2 linked regions of the Ovis aries genome follow. The main gene of each other region encodes a partner of the protein of the gene in region 2 in a complex. Links are inferred from orthologs where the notes say so. Each region holds a gene or a part of one and is shown on either strand. Other genes may lie near its edges.

Region 1 (12,257 bases), on a different chromosome or scaffold from region 2:
TGGATGGGGCATCCCCATAGGCGGGCAGGCCCTGTGGGCGGGGGATGGCCCAGCGTAGGGCATCTCTATAGGCTGGCAGGGCCTCCCCGAGGGTACGGCATCCCAAGGGCTGACCCGCCCTCTGTACCAGGCATTCCTGAGCATGTAAGTGGGGCATCCCTAGAGACTGGCAGTCCCTGTGGGGGCGTCACCCGTGGGCGGAGCCTCCCGAGGGCGGAGCCTCCCGAGGGCGGGGCGTCCCTATAGATTGGCAGCCCCTGTGGGCGGGGCTTCCCGAGGGCGGGGCACCCCTATAGGCGGGCAGCCCGGTGTGGGCGGGGCCTCCGAGGGCAGGGCGTCCCCCTGGGGGGCGGTACCTTGGCGCGGCTCAGCAGCTCGGCCACCAGCCTGATGGACTGCAGGTTGCGCTGCGCCAGCAGCAGCTTGCGCTCCTCCAGCCGGATCCTCTCCTGCAGCTTGCGCTGCTCCTCCGCCTGCATCTTCTCCAGCTTCTTCTGGCTGCGCCGCAGCTCGCGGTCCCGCTGCTTCTGCTCGCGCCTCCGCAGCTTCTCCTCGCGCCTCCGCTCGCGCTCCTGCTCCTCCAGCTCCCTCTGCTTCCTGCGCAGGCGGGCGGGACACGGCGGCTCCGTGAGGGCCGCAGGGCCCGGGCCGGCGATCGCGGCACTTGGCTCCTTAGCGCTCTGTCCGCACAGACATCTCAGCCGCGGCCGAGGGCCCCAGGAGCGAGGGGCGCACAGGGCGAGGCTTCCCCCATGTTTCCAGGGAGAGCCTGGCTAAACTCGACCCCAGCCCAGACACCGGAACAAACAAGGCGGACGCGTGGGAAGCGGAGTTTTCACCAGATGCAGCTGCTCCTGCAGGGACCGCAGCAGACGAACCAGGACGGGCCGCAGCGGCACAGGGAGGAGGCCCTCCACCACGGGCACCACACGGGCACCGCCGGAGCGCTGGACAGGCCCGGCTCCCACTGCACGAGAGACCCCTGCCCTGGGCTTTCCCATCCCGAGCCCCCAGCCCCGGAGCTGGAGGGGAGCAGGAATGCACCCGGTGGCAGGAAGGTTCTAGAAGCACCCAGCTACTGGAAGCCCCCAAGAGAACACACTGCATGGCCTTTCATGGGGACTTGCAGAAAAGGCATATGTTCAGTGACACAAAGCCAATCCGGCTTGCTCTGGGGAGGGAGGCGGCCCTCGGCACAGGGGCCCCACAGCACACACCCCGGGGAAAGCCCGTGAGGTCACCTGGGGACAGTGGCAGTTCCGTAAGCACCCGCAGAGCGCCGGCCAGCTCAGACCCAACAGCACCCTTTCCTCACCCAGAAGCCAGGACCCCAGCACAGCTGGGAGGGATCCGGGCCTCCAGGGGCGGGAAGACCAATGAGCGTGTCCTCACGGAACACTCGCACCCCTCAGACTTAACCTTCAGGCCAGGGGCAGGGCGGGCACAGCAGAGAGGCAAGGCCACCCTGGACAGCACGTGGCACGGGGACGCCAAGGCCAGGAAGGACACTCTGCAGAGGAGCCGGCATCACTCCCAGGGCGCCAGGCCCGCAGAGAAGCAGCGCTGGACGAGGAGGCCGGAGGACCCACGCTCCAGGCGTGGGGGGAGGCCGGGTCACGCAGGGAGGCGAGGCAGCTCGCGAGGATGCTGGCGTCCGGGAGGCCACACACCAGACGGTCTCCCGCAACAGGGGTCGGTGAGGGGCTGCCGCTCAGACTGCTGGTCAGCGGCCCTGAGTGCCCAGAGCCCTCACCTGTCCAGCTAAGGGCCCATAGCCAGGAACAGGACTGCTGCAGGCCACGCTGTACCTCATTAGCAGGAAAGGACCAACTCGCTCGCCCCTGACAAAGGACAGACGCCCAGGCTCCCGGGCCGGCCTGCAGGCTAACAGTGAGGCCAACTGGGCTTGGACACAGCCCTGCACACCCGAGGGCCTCCCGGGCACCCCCGGGCCCATGTTTCATGCCAGGCCAGCCCTGCCAGCCGCCTCAGCCCCGTCAGAGGTACCGCCCCGCCGACTTTGAGTGTCCCCACCACGACACGACACCCCTTGCCGCCTGAGCTCAAAGGCCACCCTCAGGGCGGCTTTCCCCGCATTAATGTGCAGGTGGAGAAAAGCGCCTGCCCCGAGACCCTGGAAAGGCCATGGGGTAACCCCTGTGACACCCAGCTCGGGGACTGCGCACAAGGTCGATCGCGGAAGAGAGAGGACGGGGCCTGCCTGGGACCAGGACCCGTGGTCCGCATGCCACCAGCGCTCCCTGGTTCAGCCTGTGGTGGGCACGTCGATCCCGCGGCCTCGTCCAGTGTGAGATCCAAACTGCTCCCCCCTTGTGGCCGCCACCTGAGGCCTGCCATGCACCCAGGACACCCCGCCCTCTCTGGGCACCTGTCCTCTCTGCAGCCACAGCCTCACTCCGGGGCTCCCGACCCCCTACCCGTGTCCACACCCCCGCCAGCTGCCTGCGCACAGGCCAGCACCATCTCCAGCACCTGCCACTCTGGCACTGGGTTCCGGAGCAGACAGGGGAAGCGCTGACCCCCGAGAAAGGCCCGAATCTGTGTTAGTGAGCATCGGAACCAAACGGGAACCACACAGGAGCCCCAAGGCCGGAGCGGCGCACAAGCCAGGTCAGCCCAGACCCACACACAGGCTGGTGAGGAGAGAATGCCGGAGCACACACGCCTGAGACTCAGCACTCTGCAAAACACACAAGAAACCCTGCCCGCCGCACACACGGACAAGTGCGGGACAAGCGCCCGAGCACACGGGTCACGGTGGAGCACCAGGAACTGCCGCTCCTTCCCAGAAGCCAGCTCGGCACACTGGCCAGCTTGCCTGCAGGGCTCACAGCATGCCACGCGCAGTCCCTTCAGTCGCGTCCCACTCTGCGGCACCACGGAAGCGGCCCGCCAGGCTCCCCGGTCCACGGGATTCTCCAGGCCAGCACACCACAGTGGGCGCCTTTCCCTTCTCCAGGCGATCTCCCCAACCCGGGACTGAACCCGCACTCTCTCTTACTGAACTGGCAGGCAGGCGGGCTCTCTTCCTCTAGCGCCAGAACGTCAAAGCAAGAAACAGAGGTCCTGAGCCAAGACGCCTGACTCAGTGTCACTTCACAGGGCTCCTGAACGGCTCTTGCTGGGAAAGGCCAACAATACCCTCACTTCCCTACTTCACTTAAAGGCAGCTTCAGCCTGAACGCAAAACACCTGTAAGCTGGACAAAACTTCCGTGCCCGCGTCAGCAGGGTGCTGCACGGTGCCCCGGGAGGCTCAGCGAGAAGGAAGGCTCAGCGAAACGCCGGGTGGGAAGCCGGCGGTGCCCTGGGGGTAGGCCGCAGCCCCGCAGTCCCGCTGCGTCTCCAAGGGGACCGACGCATGCACCCAGGCCCGCAGAGCCCGGCCCCGCAGCACGCACCTCTCCTCAGCTCTCTGGCGCTCCTCTGCCTCCTTCTCCCGCCGTTTCTGCTCCTCCCGCTGCTGCTCCAGCTCCTGAAGCTTCTGTCTCTCGAGCTGCCGCTTCTTGATGGAGGCATCGCTCAGGTGTTTGGTGGAATCGAAAGAGACCTTCGGAGGCAGGACAGGGCAGGGTTAGGAGGTGCACGCACCGTCCTGAGCACGCAGACAAGCCCGTGCTCACCGGACGGCCTGCCTCAGACTCACCGCAGAGAGCGGGGACCCCCAACGCCCTTGACCGGGGGGACCTCGGGACTGCGGGGCAGGGCTCGAAGTCAGCGCTCAGGGACCCCACCCCTTCCAGGACGGCCCCTTCTGCCGGAAACACCAGGGCCTCCGGAGGCCAGCCCTGCATGCAAGAGCTTGACTCCTTCCCCCTCCTGCGGTGGGCGCCCCCCGCCCTCCGCAGCCAGCTGCCTTCACCACCCAGCGCCCGGGCACAGCTCGCGCCCCGAGGGCCCCGGCTCCTCCGCCAGCCTGACGTGGGGAGCCAGCACGAGCCAGAGTCCGCGGCGATGATGGACAGCGCCCTCATTTCAAGGGCGGCTGCGAGCGTGTTCCACTTCTCCCCACGTTTCCTGAGACACAGAGTGCGCTCACCGCGTGGGGGGCCCAGGCAGCCCTCCCCATGTCGGAGGCCCTTCGGGGCGCAGCCCGCCGCCCCGCCTCCCCCCCACCCCCCGCACCTTGATGTTGCAGGCCACAGCCTTGCCGTCCTCGCCCTTGAACATGAGCTTCATGCCGCGCAGCGCGCTCATGGCCTGGATGAAGCCGGCGTACTCGCGGTACTGCACGTAGGCCTCGAAGTTGAGGTGGCCGCCGAAGCTGAAGGTGTGGAAGTTGCGGCCCGTCATCTCCTCGCGGTAGGGGTCCAGCATGGGGATGTCCACGTTGCGGATCTCGCCGAAGCGCTCGAACACGCGCACCAGCACCTCCTCGCTCGGCTTCTCCGAGCCCGACTCCTTCAGCGAGAACCACTTGCAGGGCAGCCCCTCCAGGTGGATGGTGTCCGGCCGCTCGCCCGGCAGCGTCTCGTTCATGTCCTTGGCGTCGCGGAAGAAGGAGTCCCAGTCGTGGCGCGTGGGGAAGTCGACCTTGAACTCCGCGGCGCGCACCTTGAGGATGTCGGAGAAGCCGCTCAGCTTGATGGTCTTGCCGTCCAGGCAGGCCAGGAAGGACTTGACGAGGCTCTTGTTCTCCACCTCGCCCTCGAAGCGGATGAAGTCCATGGTGCTCTTGGAGATGCGCAGCGTGGAGAACTGGTGGTGCTGCACCATGCCCTTGAGCCGCTCCATCACCTCCCAGTTGGAGATGGACTTGCCCGGCTGCTTCAGCTGCGGCAGCGCCACGCTGATGGTCATCTTCGTGATGGGCTTCAGGTACAGGCCGTGCAGCGGGCACAGCTCCACCGCCTCAGACGTGTCGTGCACGATGGTGGCCGCAGCCATAGCCGGGACCTTGGGCCTGAAACACAAGACGCGCACGCCGCGCGTTCACGGCCGGCCCGCTGCCCCGCCCCCAGGCTGGCCAGCACGCGGCCCGGGGCACGGAGGCCCGTCTGCCCTCCGCGTGCCCGACACACTAGTCGCTACGTCAGGGAAGGCCCCTCGGCCCCTCAGGGTTAGTCGCTCAGTCGTGTCAGACTCTCTGTGACCCCGCGGACGGTAGCCGACCAGGCTCCCCTGCTCCTGAAATTCTCCAGGCAAGAATACTGGAGTGGGTTGCCCTTCCCTTCTCCAGGAGGGGGGGTCTTTCCCACCCAGGGATCAAACCTGGGTGTCCTGCATTGCAGGCAGATGCTTTACTGTCTGAACCACCAGGGAAACCCCAGCCCCTGACATGTGGGCCCTTTTAATCAGATTACACAAATGCAGGGGAAAAAAATTTGGGTTTTCAAAACTTTTAGGAACACTTGCTTGCCCCAAGCCTCCATGGGCACTGAGCTGCCCCCAATACTCAGAGGCATCTCCACCAGGGCTGGGCTGGCAGGAGCCCAGATGGGCAGGGTCCCTGCCCTCGGGATGTGGGGGACAGGCCACCTCCATGGAGGCTGCAGACGTCTCACTGGGGAAGGGACGACCCACACAAGCACCTGGGAAGGTCTGTGCCGGAGGAAGCCCGCGGAAACAGGAAGGAACTTTCAGGCTGAGAGAATGGTTGAAGACCGTTGACTTCAGTATCTCTACCGCAGGCAGAAGCATTTTCTCTGTGTCCAGATAAAACCATCAAAGCCGCGGGGCCTCTGGGAAGCCGCGGACGGGGAGCTGACTGTGCTCTCCTCCCCCTCAACCAGCTTCTCCCTACCGGTCAGACAGGTGCCTACTTCCGCAAAGCAGGGCCAGACCTGACCCACGGACAGCAAACAGTAATGGAGGGGGCCTTGGGCTGTGTGCCCGCGCACCAGATGGCTCTGAGAGCTTCTGACCAGGCCTGGGTTCAATCCCTGGGGCGGGAAGATCCCCTGGAGGAGGGCATGGCAACCCACTCCAGTATTCTTGCCTGGAGAAAGCCACGGACAGAGGAGCCTGGTGGGCTATAGTCCACAGGGTCACAGAGAGCCACGACTGAACAGCTCAGCACACACACACACCCAGACCCAGGAGAAGCTGCAGGGACGGGGGTGGAGGGGTCCCAGCTGGAGGGAAGAGCCACCTGGCCCAGGTCTGGGGCACCAGGGAGGGGGCTCAGCCTGGGCTGAGAGTGGCGACAGCCCCCCTCCACCCGCAGAAAACCTCCAGACCTCAGAGAGAACTTGAGTCAGAGACTCCGGAAGCCCACTGCCTACTAGGAACCCTGGGGATTCCCATATTCCCTGGTCGCCCAGCTGCCCCTGCACCCTGGGGATGACCCCCAGCCCCTTCGCTGCACCCCTGTCAACACACCCCTGGCAGCCCCTCACGATCCCCATCGCCTCCACCCCTCCAAATGCTCACCCCACTGGCCCAACTCCCGCCTTCTCTCTCCCCAGCCGCCTCTGTGGCCCCCGGTTACCCCCTCCAACCTCCAGTAACCCCTAACTTCACTCCCCGTCCCAGTACAGCCTGCTTACCTCTTACCCTGGTGGACCCCGATTCGCCTGCAGGGACCCTGTCCACCCCCCGCCCCAACCCCGCAGCTCCCTGGAGACCTCCCCTCCTCTGCTCAATCGCCGTTGTCCCCTCTCCCAAATCCTCTCCCAGAAGACGCCCCCCACTCTCCGCACCCCGGGGAGACCCCCGCAGCCCCCAGCTGTCCGTCACCCCAAGCCCCTCAAAGGCTTTCGACCCCCAAAGCCCACACCCCCAAGTCCCCCAGACCCCTGCTCCCAAGTCTGCAGGTCCAGGACACCCGTGCCCCGGCCGTCCCGGGAGACCCCCGCATCCCCCAGCCCCCGGTCATCCCCAAGCCCCTCAAAGGCTCTCGACCCCCGAAGCCCCTGCCCCCAAGTCAGCAGTCCCACGAGACCCCGTGCCCCGGTCGCCCCGAGAGACCGCTGCAGACCCCAGCCCGCGGCACTCCGTCACCCTCAGGCCCTCAAAGGCTTTCGACCCCCAAAGCCGCGCCCCCAAGTCCCCAGGCCCCCCGCTCCCAAGTCCGCAGGCCCAAGAGACCCCCGCAGCCCCCGGCCGCCGGTTCTCCGTCACCCCCAGACCCCCCGCCCCCAGGCCCCTCGAAGGCTCTCGACCCCCGAAGCCCGCAGGCCCAGGAGAGCCGCGCCCCGGCCGCCCGCCCCGCGAGGCCGCCCTCCCCGGCCCCCCGACGCCCCGGGGTCCCCGGCGCCCGGCGGGCGGGGCCCCGTCCACGTACCAGGCCGCCGCCGCCCTGGCCCCAGCGCTCCCGCGGGCCCCCGACGACGCCGGCAGGCCCGGCCTCCCCGCCCGGCGCCGCCACCGTCCGCCGGAGGCGCCCCCGACGCGACCCGCTGCCGCCGCCTCGGCCGCCGCCGCCGCCCGCCCCTGTGACGCATTTCCGCTTCCGCCGCTCGGGCCCGCGGAAGCAGGCCGCGCGGCGGGCCCGGGTTTCTCCTCCTGGCCATGGCCCCGCCCCCCAAGAGGCGGGACTTCCGGGGCGGCGGTGGGTGGGGCCGGCCGGCCCGGGCTTCGCGGTGCGCGTGCGCGAGCCCGCCGCGCCCTTCCCCCACCCCGCCCCGCCCCGCCCCGCCCCCAACCCTGCCACCTGTTTTCAGGTCCAGGCAGAGGCCTCACCTTGGGGCCCCAGGGTGAAGACACCGGACTCGGGACTCAGGCCGGCTGTGTGGGGCACACTGCTGTTACAGTCATGCGTCGCACATGAGATATCGTTATGAACTATGACAAGTGTATATTTATTAATTACTGATTTTATTCCGTATGAGTATGGATTGCTTGTATGACATTGTTATATCATGCTATAATGTAGCATACATATAATGCAACGGGCTTCCCTGGTGGATCCATTGATAAGGAGTCCGGCTGCAATGCGAGACACCTGGGTTCAATCCCTGGGTTGGGAAGATCCCCTGGAGAAGGGCATGAATACCCACTCCAGTATTCTGGCCTGGAGAATCCCGTGGGCTATAGGCATCGCAAAGAGTCAGACACAACGGAGCGACTTTCACCTCCCGTAATGTAACTACACTCACTTAAGTAATATAGTGTTAGTATAAACATCTAGTATTTTACTATTGAAACTTTTTACATTTTAACATTGATGTTCCATGCTTACTTTTAAGGATGTCGGAAAGTAACAGAAATTGCATAATTATTATTTTATATTTTTGATATGCATCTGTGCATTTTATTATTTTAAATTGCTTAATATATAAAATGTAAATATAAATATATAATGTGCTTTCTGTGTTATATATCTGTGTTCTCAGTTGCTGAGTTGTGTCTGACTCTTTGCGAGCCCATAGACTGTAGCCTGCCAAGCTCTTCTGTCCGTGGGATTCTTCAGGCGAGAGTACTGCAGTGGGTTGCCATTCTCTTCGCTAGGAGATCCTGTTGACCCAGGGGTGAAACCTGTGTGTCTTGTGTCCCCTGCATTGGAAGGTGGGTTCTTTACCACTATGCCACCCACGTTATATATAATCGATTTCAAAAATAATGACCTTTTGTATAACTTTACCTGTAATATTTATCTTATGCATAATAATACAGTTAGGTCTGCTGCTGATACTGCTGCTGAGTCGCTTCACTCGTGTCCGACTCTGTGTGACCCCAGAGACGGCAGCCCACCAGGCTCCCCCGTCCCTGGGATTCTCCAGGCAAGAACAGTGGCGTGGGTTGCCATTTCCTTCTCCAGTGCATGAAACTGAAAAGTGAAAGTGAAGTCGCTCAGTCGTGTCCGACTCTTAGCAACCCAATGGATTGCAGCCCATCAGGTTCCTCCGTCCATGGGATTTTCCAGGCAAAAGAGTACTGGAGTGGGGTGCCACTGCCTTCTCCATACATTTAGGTCATTTTATGGTATAAATAAAATGGCTTCCCTCATAACTCAGTTGGTAAAGAATCTGCCTGCAATGCAGGAGACCTGGGTTCAATTCCTGGGTCAGAAAGATCCCCTGGAGAAGGAAATGGGCACCCACTGCTCAGTCGTGTCCAGCTGTTTGTGGCCCTTTGGACTGTAGCCCCCACCAGGCTCCTCTGTTCGTGAGATTTTTCAGGCAAAAATGTATCCCTGGGGACCTGTTAAATTTGGAAACTGCCAAGTACCAAGCAAAGCGAATTAAGACATGAGATACTCACTTTTCTTGGGGACGAGCAAGACTCAGAGACAATTGCAAGAATCTGGGAAATATTCAAAGAAAGTCCTTTTACATTTTTCAGCAAAATATCCCTCCACGGAATGTTCCCCAGAAACACAGAAGCAAAGTCCCCAGGGACCTTAATCCTCTGGAGGAGTGAGAAATACCAGGTATGTAAATTTCACTCTCATTGAGCATGATGGGGAATGGGAGCAGGATGCACGGTCACTTCCAGGGTGAGATTGCAAAGCTGAAGGAATTCTACAATTGAAGTTAAAGTCCATCATCTGTAGAGTCCAGCTAATGAAATGGGAAGTTATTCCGTGTGGGCCTGCCCTAATCAGGTGTTGGCATCCAAACCATTTAAAACGGCGGAAACACAGCCTGGTTGCCTCTGAGGAAGCCAATTGCCTGGTGGGAAAAAAGAAGCCGTTTGGCAGGAATTGGCATGTGGCTTCTGAGTGGTGAAGGTATGGATGCTGTCAGTCTAATGAAATGAGAAGAGTATTCTAGGTGGGCCTGACCTTGGAAGAAAAGCTATGACAAACCTACACAGCATATTAAAAAGCAAAGACATCACTTTACCGACAAAGGTCTGTATTCAAAGCTATAGTCACGTATGGATGTGAGAGTTGAACCATAAAGAAGGTTGAGCACTGAAGAATTGATGCTTTCAAACTATCTTGAGAGTCCCTTGGACAGCAAGGAGATCAAACCAATCCATCTTAAAGGAAATCAACCCTGAATATTCATTGGGAGGAATGAAGCTGAAGCTCCAATACTCTGGACACCTGATGTGAAGAGCCAAATCATTGGAAAAGACCCTGATGCTGGGAAAGATTGGAAGAGAATGGGGCAACAGAGGATGCGATGGTTGGATGGCATCACCGACTCCATGGACATGAGTTTGAGCAGGCTTCAGGAGATGGTGAAGGGCAGGGAAGCCTGGCGTGCTGCAGTTCACGGGGTCGCAGAGAGTTGGGCATGATTTGGCAACCGAACAACAACCGACCACAGTAAAGCGTGCCTCTCTACCCCATGCAGACAATGATGTATGTTCTGTGCTTAAATGTTGTTGCTCTGTTCGTTTCCGAGGGCTGCTGTGAGCTGTGACCCCAAAAAGAACAGAAATGTATACCCTCACTGTTCTGGAGACCAGAAAGTCTGAAACCAGCCAAGGCGTGGGTGCATTTCGGTTCCTTCCGAGTGCTCCCAGGAAGGATCTGCTCCGGGTCTGTCGGCAGGCTTTCTGTGGTTTGCTGACAGTCTGCAGTGTCCCTTTGAAACGGAGCAACAACCTATGGTCCTTGTCTCCCACGCCCTCCGCCTGCCTTCTGTCTGTAGAAAAATAAAATAAGCTTTAGCTGAAGCAGAAGTTTAATCAGAGAAGTAAGAACATGGCAGAACCACACAAAATCAGTCAAGCGAGACTAAATTATGACAGTTGACTCATTAAGCACAGTCAAGTACCTTCAGTTCCTCCCGAAGGGCTGTAGTGAAGTCAGAAAAGGCAACCCACTGCAGTATTCTGGCCTGGAAAAATCCCACGGACAGAGGAGCCTGGTGCGCTACGGTCCATGGGGGTCGCAAAGAGTCGGACACGATTTAACAACGGAGCACGCATTCAAGAGCTATAGAGGTTCTGAGCCACCTCCTGTGAGCTGTCTTGTAGATACTGACACCGCCTACCAGGGGGAGAAGTTAACAACGTCATGGCCAGGCTGTAGGCATGACATAGGCTGTCCCAGATCTGAGAACTGGCCTCAAGGAATGGGAACAAACTGACCTTGCAACTGAAGATTGATTGTACCTAAAACAACCAAGATGGGGCTGGTCAGACCACTGGTGACCGACCTGAGGATGACTGTCAGAGCTGACTGTGCTCTTTCCACGTGTAGCCCCCCTCCGACGTCCGTCTACCTAGGTATCCATCTGTTCATCGATCCATCCATCTACCCATCTGTCCAAACATCCGGGGACTCATCCACCCACTCATCCAGCAGTCCATCCATCCATCCATCCATACATCATCCATCCATACATACATCATCCATCCATCTATTCATCCATCCATTTACCCATCCATCATCCATCATGCATCCATCTATCCATCCATCCATCCATCTATCCATCTCACCATCCATCATCCATCCATCCATAAATATATATTCCATTATCTATTCATCCATCCACCCATCTGTCCATCTCTCCACCCATCCATCTCACCATCCATCATCCATCCATGCATACATCATCCACTCCCCCATCCATCCATCCATCCACCCATCTATCCATTTTTCCACCCATCCATCTGTCCACCCAATCACTCACTCATGCATCCAGCTGTCCACTGGTCTGACTATCCATCCATCCACCTGCGCATCTGCGTCCACTCATCTGTCCATGCCTCCATCCATCTGGGCGTCCGTATGTGCACCACGCACCCACCTCTCCATCTGCCCATTGGGCCACGCCTCTGTCCATCCACCTCACAGATCCATGCCTCTCAAGACTTGTTGTTTCACTCCCTAAGTCACGTCCAACTCTTTGTGACCTCGTGGACAGTAGCTCCCCCACCCAGGCTCCTCTGTCCGTGGGATTCTCCAGACGACAGTACTGGGGCGGGTTGCCATGCCCTCCTCCAGGGGATGTTCCCGACCCAGGGATCAAACCCGGGTCTCCTGCATGGCAGGTGGACTCTTTACCACTGACGGAAGGTCGCTCAGCCATGTCCGACTCTTTGCGACCCCATGGACTGTAGCCTACCAGGCTCCTCTGCCCATGGGATTTTCCAGGCAATAGTACTGGAGTGGGTTGCCATTTCCTTCTCCAGGGGACCTTCCCCAGCCAGGGACTGAACCCACATCTCCTGCATTGCAAGTGGACTCTACCACTGAGTCACCAGGAAATCTCGAGACTTTAGTCAGAACCACTCCTTTCCACCAGGTGGCGCATGCACCTCCTTAAGGAACTGGAGGGAGCTCCCTTAGATATCCTTTGGTCTGGTTTTGAAGCCAACGTTAATTATCCGTCCTTAGCAAAGGCATCAGCCTGGTCATTCCCCATGAACGTTACCCAGTTCATGGAACCCGTC
Region 2 (11,630 bases):
GAAGAGTAGAACACCCTTGCCTCATGCAACCAGAGAAAGCTCATGTGCAGCAACAGAGACCCAGAGCAACCAAAACTAAAAGCACATAATAAAATTTTAAAATAGTAAATTAAAAAACAAACCAAAAAGGACTATTTAAAGAAAAACAATGAAGAATGGCACCCTGCTAGGCACTTTCCCAATGGTTGGGCCCCCTCCTCGTGGGCGCTAGGGCATTATCCAGGATACTCTGCCCTGCGGGCCTTCCCAGCTCACCTTCAGCCCAGCTGGATCCTCTGCCATGGCGGTCTCCTCAGGACAAGACTCAAGAGAGCGATGCAGCTCATCAATGGCTTCACTTGTGATCTTCCACACTGCATGAAGGCCATTCTGGCTCACAGTGCCTGCAGACAAATCGAGATTGTGAGTATGTCCTGACAAGAGCTGAAAAAAGGCAATTCATTATTTGCCAGATGATGGATCTGTATGGGCTAAAAATTCTTGCCTCCAGATTCTCCTAGCCGCTCTGGCTCCTTTAGCCTCATTCTCTGTATGTCCGTCTTTTAAAGTTCCCATTAATAAGTGCTCTAATAAAGGACAAAGTAATAGAAAGTATAACTAAAATATAAGATAATCTATAATATTTTTAATTTTTTTTCAGCTTTGAAGAGGTGGCAGAGAAAACAATACCATCAAAATTTTTGGAAAAAAGGACCCCTGGGGCTGGATTCCAAGAAGAAAAGCCAGCAATAGAAGAGACCGAGCTACAGGAAGCTGTCAAACTTTAGGCACAGAGAGAGCCCCAAATATGCACATCCCAAGATGCCTGCACTACACCGGGAATACTTCAGTGTTGGAGACCACTCGTTCTATTGATACACAGAGAACTTCTACTCAGGTTAGGTAATAAATACAAGCACCTTAGCTGGTTGCAAATTTAGGGATGAAGTACCCAAATAAGAGGTTTCTAAACGAATAAAAATTAATTATCCACTTAAACATTAAAATGTTTTTAAATGAAAATCTATTTTAATGGGATTCTTTCCTAAACATACTACATAACTTCTTACCTTAATAATCCACCTTAATTTCTCTAGGCAACTCCATCACCATGGTGATGACTGCACGACGCTGTCATGCAGCAGTGTTCCTCCGTCTGGAGCCTAACTAGGCTGTGCCACTGGACTAAATACGTTTTCTGTTTTGTTTCAGAGGAAGTAGTTAATTCACAACACTGTGTTAGTTTTGAGTGTACAGCAGAGTGACTGAGTCATATGTATTTTTTTATCTATGTTCTTTTCCATGATAGGTGGTTATAAGACATCCCGGTGCTATACAGTAGATTCTTGCTGCTTATCTATTTTCCCTAAATAAGCACATTTTCTCTGCGCCCTTTTAGAGGGATCCTTGGGTCACATGGCACCCTGTCTATCCCTTACCCTCTTCTGGCCACTGCTTTCCAACTTTTCTCCCCTCCCTCCGGTTTTCTCTTTTCTCTCCTTTTCCTTTCCACAACCTGAGCAGTTCTCAGCAGACAACCGGCTTTTGCTTTTCTCATCGCTGTCAGCCCAGCCGAGTTCCTGTGTCCTGGTCAGTAAACCACATGATCATATTACACAGTTGAGGCTGTTCTGGGGATCCTTCTCCTGCAGCTACTTCAGAATTCATTGCTGTCTGTAGAGTTCAGGATGGAAACGCTCATTTAAATAGGGTGGTGCTGCTCTCTGTGGGTCTATTGGTCACAGTCGCTTACTCCCCTGCCCTGCCTCAGCACACGCACACACAGGACTACAGACATATCCACTGGTTTGCCTTCCTCCTCATGATGTGAGTTTGAGTTTTCACTCACAAACATTTAGCAGATGACTCCCACATGCTGGCCACTAAGCTGGTTGATTAAGGGCCATGAACAAGGTCAATGAACAGGGCAGACACAGTCTCTGCTCTCAAGAAGGTCTAAATTACACTGTAAAAACTCAGCTGAGCACCCCCAGCTTTATTACACAAGACAGAATGGCTTCTCCCTTCTCATGGACACAAAGGCACCTACGAGGCAGCACTGAACTTGTAGGTGTAGCTATTCCCCCAGGGCCAGGCCCTCGGATCTCACCTCCACAGCACTGACCAGACCCTCCAGCAGCTTCCTGGTGGGCAGCCTTCAGTCCTTGAGAACCCAGAGGCCAGAGATCCTGACCCTGCAGGGGTTTGGGAGGCACCCAGCGGGGAGGGTCAGTGGTCTCTTTGGTGAAGTTACTCTGCTGAGGTTCTTGAGTGTTAAGCTTCTCCTTAGTGTCTGCTCAAAACACAGGGAAGAACAGATTACACTTCAGAAAAGTGAAGGAACTCTATGAGCGAGGTGAGGCCAAGAGGGTGGGATCACCATGAGCAGGGGAAGGCTTCCTAGAGACTGAAGAATTTAAACCGCTTCTTAAACAATGGGAAAAGACTTGAGTCCACAGGAAATAGGAGGAAATTTTTATCAATCACAGACCCAACTTAAAAGGAAGCTCTGAAACAGACAACAAGATGGGCAGGTCAATGCATCAACCTATTCTTTTAATGTCAGGAACTATTCCTCAGATTAAAAAAAAAATTTAAGTATTTATTGAATTTGTTACATTGCTCTTTTCATGTTTTGGGTTTTTTGGGGGGTGTGGGGCCACATGGCATCTGGGATCTCAGCTCCCCAATCAGGGACAGAACCTGCACCCCCTGCATTGGAAGGTGAAGTCCTAACCACTGGACAGCCAAGGAAGTCCCCCAACCTCTTCTTTATCGAAATGGCTCTCGAATGTCTCCTGAAGTTCACGCAAACCCCGGGTTCAGGGGCAGAACCCCTTTTACCTTGCTCTGGGGAGAGGGCCAGGGCACTGAGCGCTTCCTCCAGCTCCTGAATTTGCTTGAACAACTTCTGACCCTTGTCTGGAAGAGCCTGGATGTTCACCGATGCCAGTGTGTTCTGTAAAACAGATCCTATAAAATGGGTCACTCGCTCCTCTCGAGAGGTCAGAGGTACTTTCAGATTAAAACAGCCTAGAAAGCTAAAACTGTAGCACTAGTCTTTTAGCTATGTGTGTGAAAACCAGAACCTTTCTTCTTTCTAAACCCAGCTGATTTACCAATCCTGAACATACAACCATAGCAAAAGGCAGAAACTAAACATCCACCTGTGAGACCTTCCTTACATTAATATATTTCACACATTAATATGCGGTCGTGGCGCACCTGACCTGCCCACAGCAGGCAATGCTCCGACCTCATAAACAAACACAGGTGGCAGTTACCTTCTTGTGTCTCAGTTGTGTTGTAAGGAACACACGTTGGGCTGTCAGGTCTGAAGGTTCTCCCTTCTTGGAAACACTCGAGGCAGAAGAAACTTTTCTTTGCACGCTCTGACCAGGGAGCTTAAGGTCCTTCTTCTCCTGTGTGTCTGGAGGCAAGTCAAAGAGTAAGGGGCTCCCCGGCTTAAACGAAACAAAAACAACGTCATCGTCCTCACTGCCACCACTGCCTGTGTCAGCCTCTCGCCTCTCTCCTGCCGGGCGCCCTGTGGCCAGTGGCGCAGGCTGAGCAGCTGGTTCCTCTGGAGCAGGCGTGTCCCGGGTCCCCAACTGAGCCTGAAAATGGCCCTGGAGCAGACTCTTTTGGAGGGTCTGTGTGCTTGGGTCATTCCCTGTCTTTGTTTCTCTAGCCTCCCAGCTCTTAGGGTGCTCCTTGGTGAGGTGCTCCCCTTTCAGGGGCTGGCTTATTGAGTGCTGACTGTGAACAATTCGAGGCAAAGGCTTAGTTTCCTTTACTGTCGGAGGTTCTGATTCTTTTTGGACAGAATGACTCTCACTATCTGACTTCACCTGAAATGCAGATGGTTCTCTGAGCCCATTTCCACAGACCTGTTTGGCTTTCATCTCTAAAAGGTTTCTTTTGTGCATCCCTTCTATCTCCTTTGCTTCGCACTGAAACACTGTCTTCTCTCTTTGCTGTCTATCTTGAACTGCAGATTGTTTTTTCTTTGCTCCCAGGCCAGATGAGAGCTCTTTCTCCGCCCAGCACTTAGATTCCGGCTTCTGTTCCTTCTTTTGATCCAGGCATGGATCTCCCTTTTCTCTTTGCTTCTTATCAGCTGTCTTTTCCTCATCTTCACCTTTGATGAACTGTTTCCAGACGGATGGTTCTTGATTCTTATCAAGTACCTTGAACGGATTTCTCAGCTGGCTGGAAGGATAATGAGATGGCTCAGAGGCAAGCTGAGACTTACTGGTTCCAGAATGTTCTTTAGAATTAGGATCCTAAAAGACAAAGGAAATAATCTAATCTTAATATAAAATATGAATGCAACCTTCACACCTAGAAGGCCTTTCTTCCGAGGAAATGGGAAAAGTAAAAGCAGTAAAAGCAGTCCAGTTTTCCTAAACGTTCCTGGGATCATTTCCTGCTCTAGAACGGACTGCCAAACTCACACAGTATTCATTTCCTAACAGTACTTTCAATGCTTGGTTCTTTCTCTGTCCGTGATCACTGCTTTTACAGGTCCCAAGGAAAAGCAGTGTGCAGGTCAAACTGTTTTAATAATAGCAATAGCCACAATGTGTATTTTTCATGAAAATGACTCTCTCAAGATGAACTTTTCCCCAAACCTAAACAGCTCTGATTTTGGCTTTAGGATGGTTTCAAATCTAGAACCTTAAGTCCAAGCTATCCCTCTACAAGTCTCAAGACCTCCCTCAGTCTAGTTCCTCATGTAGTAGACATCTGCAGGGTCTCTCCTAGTTCTCACATTCCAGAAGCTTATGAATTACACCCAGTTTATATAAACATCAAGTAGATAACAGTCTATAAAAACATGCTGGGACTTCCCTGGCGGTCTGGGGGCTAATGCAGGGGGTCTGGGTTTGATCCCTGGTCAGCGAACTAGATCCACATGTCACAACTAAAGATCCTGCATGCTACAGATAAAATAAGAGTAGCCAAATAAATAAATATTAAAAAAAAAATTCCTGAGGTTAGTCAAGTAAATTTAAATTTTTTCCCTAAATAGGCGAATGCTAACTATAGAATGGGCTTCCCTGGTGGTTCAGATGGTAAAGAATCTGCCTGTAAGGCAGGAGACCTGGGTTCGACTCCTGGGTGGGGAAGATTCCCTGGAGAAGGGAATGACTATCCACTCCAGTATTTTTGCCTGGAAAATTCCGTGGACAGAGGAGCCTGGCAGGCTATACATAGTTCATGGGGTCAAAAAGAATCGGACAAAACCGAGTGACTAACACTACTATTACTAACTATAGAATGGATAGATATTTATGTATGACTGAGCTCCTTCACTGTTCACCTGAAACTATCACAACATTGTTTGTTAACTGGCCATACTCCAATATAATATTAAAAATTTAAAAAAAAAAAAAAAGATCCAAATAGTCCTTTGAATTAAGAGTCCCAACAGGGTCTACCTTGCTGAAAGAAAAGAACTCTTTCGGAGAAAGTTCAATGAAGACCAATCAGTTTATAATGGACTTTAGGGTCTTTTCAGATGATCCCACAGGTTAAACATCTTTACACAGTCAGATCTGAAAACAGACGAATAATTCCTACCTGCCATGGGATATTTCCACACCACTGTTTCCCCTCTGCTTTACTTTTAACACATCGGAAGAGCAACCTGATAAAGTATAAAACACAAATAACCGAGTTTGTGAAAATCCATTAAAATAAAAGATGAACTTGTTTTTAATTCAAGAAACCCTTTTATTTGATAACAGCTTTGAAAGGTCACTTGAAACCAATTACTCTTAACATGTACTCCATTTAAAAATTTTAATTTAAAAATTTGGACTCAGAGGGAGAGGGAGAGGGTGGGATGATTTGGGAGAATGACATTCTAACATGTATACTATCATGTAAGAAATGAATCGCCAGTCTATGTCTGACGCAGGATGCAGCATGCTTGGGGCTGGTGCATGGGGATGACCCAGAGAGATGTTATGGGGAGGGAGGTGGGGGGGGGGGTTCATGTTTGGGAACGCATGTAAGAATTAAAGATATTAAAATTTAAAAAATAAAAAACTAAAAAAAAAATAAATAAATAAATTTTAAAAAAATAAAAAAAATAAACATTCTTTACCTCATAGGATATTTACAAGACCTGAGAAGTGAAAGAGTACAGATGTCATAGTAACCAGAGAGTAGTCATAGATTAATTCTTTTAACTCTACAGAATGACTGACATGGGAACACTGATCCACAAGGGCTGCTAAAATCAGAAAAAAGGAGATAACCAGACATTATGTGTCCCTAATGAGAAGCCACAATACTTCCTATAAAGTAAAACCAAAAAAATAAGCCAATCAAAGATTTCCCCAGTTATCCAATGGCTAAGACTGCACCTCCTCTGCAGGGGGCCTGGGCTCCATCCCTGGTCTGGGAACTAAGACCCCACAAAACTTATAGTGGCGTGGCCAAGAAAAGAAAACTAAGACAAAAACGAACCTGAATCTGGTCAAACCCCTGGGTCCAATTAACAGTTTACAGGAAATGCAAACAGATGAACACGTAAAACTAGACCAGGGGATGCAATCTGCAAACTCTTCACAGTGGGAAGTGCTATAGAACAAACAACCTGATTCCTTCAATAAGTAAATCACAAGGGAGAAGAAAAAGACTGGGGGGACCTATTTAAGAGACGTAAAGAGAAAATCAATTACCTGCAACCTGTAGACCTTATTCAAATCCTGACTTAAGCAAACGAGCAAAAACTACCAAAAATAAACTATTTATAGTATTTATGAATCTTCTGGAAATCTGTACTCCAATTGGTTAAAAAAAACAGTCCATATTTTTTTACAGCTATGCACTGAAATATTTACAGAAGAAATGACATTATGTGGGATTTGTATCCAAACATGGAGGAGCTGGTAGGTAGGGTGCAAGGATATAGATGCAACAAGATTCGCCATGAGTGTGACTGTTGAAACTCACATGCAGTAATTCTATCCTGCCTACTTTTGTATATGTTTCCAATCTTTCATTAAGAAAAAAAAAAGACTGACTACAGGCCTACATCCCAGGGCAAGGCAATCGCTGCTCACACAAACACTACCTATATTCCAGCTATGCAAAAATGGCTGTGCTGTCCCGAGCTCAAACTAAGCCACACCCTCTCCATCCCACTGGACTTTGCACGTGTACCACTCTCCATCCAAAGAATATCCTCCTTACCCCTATTTGCCCACCATTACCCCATCACCAGCTGTCAATCCTACAGGTCCTGCCACACCCAGTTCAAGACATACCGCCTTTGCATGCTCTCTGCCCTGTTCATGCACTGTACTGCTTCTGTATTTTTGTTGTATATGGTTATATTATGCTTATATCTGCCTGTCAGCAACTAGAAGGCGATAACTCTCTCTTTATTCTTAAGCCTCGCTGTTTGTACATAATAGTTAAGTATTGTTGAAATTAACAGAACCAACTGAATTCTTCCTTACCCCAAATAACTCCTCAAAAACATTTAATCAGTTAAATAAGAGCCTTTGACATATGTATTCCATTTAATTGTTTAAATAGGTAAAATGCTCAATCAAAAAGTATAAAACGACAGCGAAAAGCACCTCCGCTCCATCTGTTCAGTTCACATCCCTCCCACGTAACCATTTCTCTTAGTTTTTGGTTTGCCTTTCCAGAGATAGCTTTAATGAATATTTAGGTCAATGTATTTTATTTATTTCTTCCTTATTTACTCAAGTGGGTAGCATAGTATGCTGTGCTGTGCTTAGTCGCCCAGTTGTGTCCGACTCTTTGCGACCCCATGGGCTATAGCCTGCCAGGCTCCTCTGTCCATGGGGATTCTCCAGGCAAGAATATTGGAGTGGGTTGCCATGCCCTCCTCCAGAGGATCTTCCCAACCCAGGGATCAAACCCAGGTCTCCCTCATTGAAGTGGATTCTTAACTGTTTGAGCCACCAGGGAAGCCCAAGAATACTTGAGTGGGTAGCTTATCCCTTCTCCAGGGGCTCTTCCAGACCCAGGAATCAAACCAGAGTCTCCTGCATTGCAGGCGGATTCTTTACCAGTTGAGCTACCAGGGAAGCCCAGGGAACATAGTATACATACTACTAAATATCGTGCTTGCCGTTTTTAAAAAAACTTAACAACATGTCTTGGAGAAAAACATATACATAAAGGACTTCCTTATATGTACATATTTTCTACAACTGCAGTTTTTTACACAGCAGCAGTTTTCCACTATAAGGATGTTCCATTATTTATTTAACCAGACCCCTCTGGTTATTTCCAATCCTTTACTATTAATAGCAATATCACAATGAATAACCTTTTGCATATGCCATTTAACATGTGTTTTAATATATCCATTGGGCAACTCTCTATATTTCACACTGTATATTAGAGCCTTCACTGTTTTTCTTCATCAGTTAGCTTCTAGATTTTATTTATTAGCTCACTTTTTTTTTCCTTTCTACCTCATTAAGTTCAATTTTATCTGCATTAACTCCTGCTTTCGTTTTCTTTCTGTTTAATTTCTTGTCCTTTTTCTAGCTTCTTAAATTAGTACTGTGATACACAACACAAGGGCTTCATTGTTGGCTCAGCGGCAAAGAATCCGACTGCCAATGCAGGAGACGTGGGTTCGATCCCTGTGTTGGGAAGATTCCCTGGAGAAGGAAATGGCATCTCAGTATTCTTGCCTGAGAAATCCCAGGGACAGAGGAGCCTGGGGGGCTACAATCCATGGTCGCAGAGTCAAATACAACTTAGCAACGAAATAACAAATACGACACAAATCACAACAGTCTGAGTCCTAACTCAAAATGAATCCTGAGCAGATCACAACCCCTCGATGCCATTACTTCACTTGGGTGTAAAAGCAAAGATAACAAGCTCCAAATGGACAAGCGTTCCATAAGAGTGAAAAAGAAGACACGGACTTTCCTAGTGGCACAGATAAGAATCCACCTGCCAATGCCGGGACGTGGGTTTGATCCCTGGTCTGGGAAGGTTCCACATGGCACAGAGCAATTAGGCCCGTGCACCACAACCACTGAGCCTGCATGCTCTAGGGCCCACAAGCCACAACTACTGAGCCTGCACCCTGCAACCACTGCCATCTGTGCACCTAGATTCTGTGCTCCACAACAAAAGCAGCCCACACACAGCCTCGAGAGAGTAGCCCCCACTCTCCACAACTAGAGAAAGCCCACGCAGACAACAAAGGGTCCAATGCAACCCAAAAAAATAAATAAAATTATTTTTAAAAAATAAAAAAGAAGAAAGGACCAGCTCCTATCACACAAACTCATAATTTTCTCATTCAAGTTCACAATTAAAAAAAACCTGTGTTGGTCTCTTTAATTTTTTCTTACTGCAATAAGAAAATTTAGTTCTGAGCATATAGTTCTGAAAATTCCTGAAATGCCTTGATTGCAAAAAACTCAAAGGCTACTATTAGGGAGTACTACGACTTATAAAAACAGGTCAAGAACAAATTCTTGCTGCTGAAAATGTATCAAGTACTTGAAACCTTAACTGAAAGAATATTTTATAAACAGCATGTATTTTAAAGCCCAAACTTCATAGACTTTCAGGAGAAGGGCAAGATTTGGAGAAAGAGGGAAGTAAACAACACACAATGAGCATCAGCTATGTGCTAGGCACACTGCAAAAAATATTTCTGCTTACATTTTTATTAAAAACAATCTAGAAGAGCTTCTCTGTTTTTAGGATAAAAGTTTGTCATGTTTATTAAATTATAAATCAATAGAGAAAGCGGTGGGAATATATTATCATAGAGAAAGCAAACACTGAGTCCACTATGAAAAAGAGTGTAATTTCTACAGTATATTCGTTAATTATTTTCCAAGGCATAGGTTATGAACAAGAAAAATGAAGAAACCAGCTAGGGGTCATTCAAGACCAAGTTCAAGTCTCAATTCCTCCACTTTCTCAGTAACCTTCATCAGCCTTAATCTCTTACCATTGGTTTTACAGTCAGAGAAACATCTGGCACTCGAACACATACAATTTAGCACTCTAACATGCAGATCAGCGGAGAAGGCGATGGCACCCCACTCCAATACTCTTGCCTGGAAAATCCCATGGACAGAGGAGCCTGGTAGGCTGCGGTCCATGGGGTCGCGAAGAGTTGGACACGACTGAGCGACTTCACTTTCACTTTTCACTTTCATGCATTGGAGAAGGAAATGGCAACCCACTCCAGTGTTCTTGCCTGAAGAATCCCAGGGACAGGGCAGCCTGGTGGGCTGCCGTCTGTGGGGTTGCACAGAGTTGGACACGACTGAAGTGACTTAGCAGAGCAGAGCATGCAGATCAGACTGCTCACCAACCTTCCTGTGTCTAACTCTTAGCCCAATCGTGTCTTAGGGCCCTTAGAAATACGGGTTCCCTTCCACATGCAGCAATGGAAAAATATAAAGCTGGATTTCTACCTCACCTTTTACACAAAAATTCAAGATGGAACAAAAATGAATAGAATAAAAATGTAAATGTTCTAGGAACAAAAAAACGGAGATGAATATTTTGGCAATCCTAACGTAAAAAGGGAATGACAAAATCCTGCAGCTCAGAGATAAAGGATTTAGTAATTTGACTACATAGAGGTATTAAATGTCCATATAGTAAAAATACCATAGGCAAAATTACAAGACAAAGGACAACCTGGGGAAAGGAATTGCTGTACACATTATAAAAGGCTAATATCCTCTCCATGGGCTTCCCAGGTGTCCCAGTGGGCCTGCCAAGGCAGGAGATGCAGGAGATGCTGATTCAGTCCCTGGGTCAGGAAAATCCCCCGGAGAAGGAAAGAGCAACCCACTCCAGTATTCTTGCCTGGAAAATCCCACGGACAGAAGAGTGGGGGGGCGGCTACAGTCCCTGGGGCTGCAAACAGTCAGACACAACTGAGTGAGAGAGCACACACACATAATAATGTTCCCATACAAGGATTACTCCTGCGGTACAGCACAGTGCATGATACTCCACACATCTAGCACTGGCTTTGCTGAGTGGGCTTCTTTATGGGCTGCTGGAGCCCGAGGTCCTTCTGCATGTGTCTGGCTCATGTCAGTGCCTCTCTGTCATCAGCCTAGCTCATCATCATTGGGTTAGGTAATCTGCACGCCAATTTTACCCAGTAATCAACCGACCACAAAAGGGGTGTCCTAGATGTGCACAGATTCATATGCTATTAAAAATGAAGCATTTGGGGGACCTCTCTGGTGGTACAGTAGATAGGAATCTGCCTACCAATGCAGGGGTCACGGGTTCGATCCCTGGTCTGGGAAAATTCCACATGCCTTGGAGCAACCAAGTAGGTGAGCCACAACTACTGAGCCTATTTGCTACAACTACTGAAGCCCGCATGCCTAGAGCCTTTGCTCAACAACGTGAGAAGTCACTGCAGTGAGAAGCCTGAATACTGCAACGAAGAATAGGCCCTGCTCTCCACAATGGAGAAAGCCTGCGCACAGCAATGAAGACCCAGTGATGCAAAAAAAAAAAAAAAAAACAACCTCTTAAAAAAAAAGTAAAAACATAAAAGTATTTTAAACATCCCAGTACCACCAGTTATTTAAAGAACTAAAACCTGTTTTACCAATCTATAGATGAAGAATATTACCATCTAT

What was found.
Region 1: TTF2 (region 2) and A-kinase anchor protein 17A share a complex: the UniProt entries of both Homo sapiens proteins name them as parts of the spliceosome. The link is inferred for Ovis aries from reciprocal best matches to the Homo sapiens genes TTF2 and AKAP17A.

Annotation. Positions count from the first base shown.
Region 1 is NC_082741.1:864,265-876,521, reverse strand, and holds the start of A-kinase anchor protein 17A, read right to left. Parts: upstream 6,549-12,257; 5' UTR 5,686-6,548; coding exon 5,552-5,685; intron 4,924-5,551; coding exon 4,146-4,923; intron 3,571-4,145; coding exon 3,422-3,570; intron 598-3,421; coding exon 357-597; intron 1-356. UniProt on the Homo sapiens protein: Splice factor regulating alternative splice site selection for certain mRNA precursors. Mediates regulation of pre-mRNA splicing in a PKA-dependent manner.
Region 2 is NC_056054.1:94,475,934-94,487,563, reverse strand, and holds part of TTF2 (transcription termination factor 2), read right to left. Parts: intron 5,633-11,630; coding exon 5,566-5,632; intron 4,266-5,565; coding exon 3,264-4,265; intron 2,939-3,263; coding exon 2,824-2,938; intron 2,273-2,823; coding exon 2,090-2,272; intron 384-2,089; coding exon 256-383; intron 1-255. UniProt on the Homo sapiens protein: DsDNA-dependent ATPase which acts as a transcription termination factor by coupling ATP hydrolysis with removal of RNA polymerase II from the DNA template. May contribute to mitotic transcription repression. May also be involved in pre-mRNA splicing.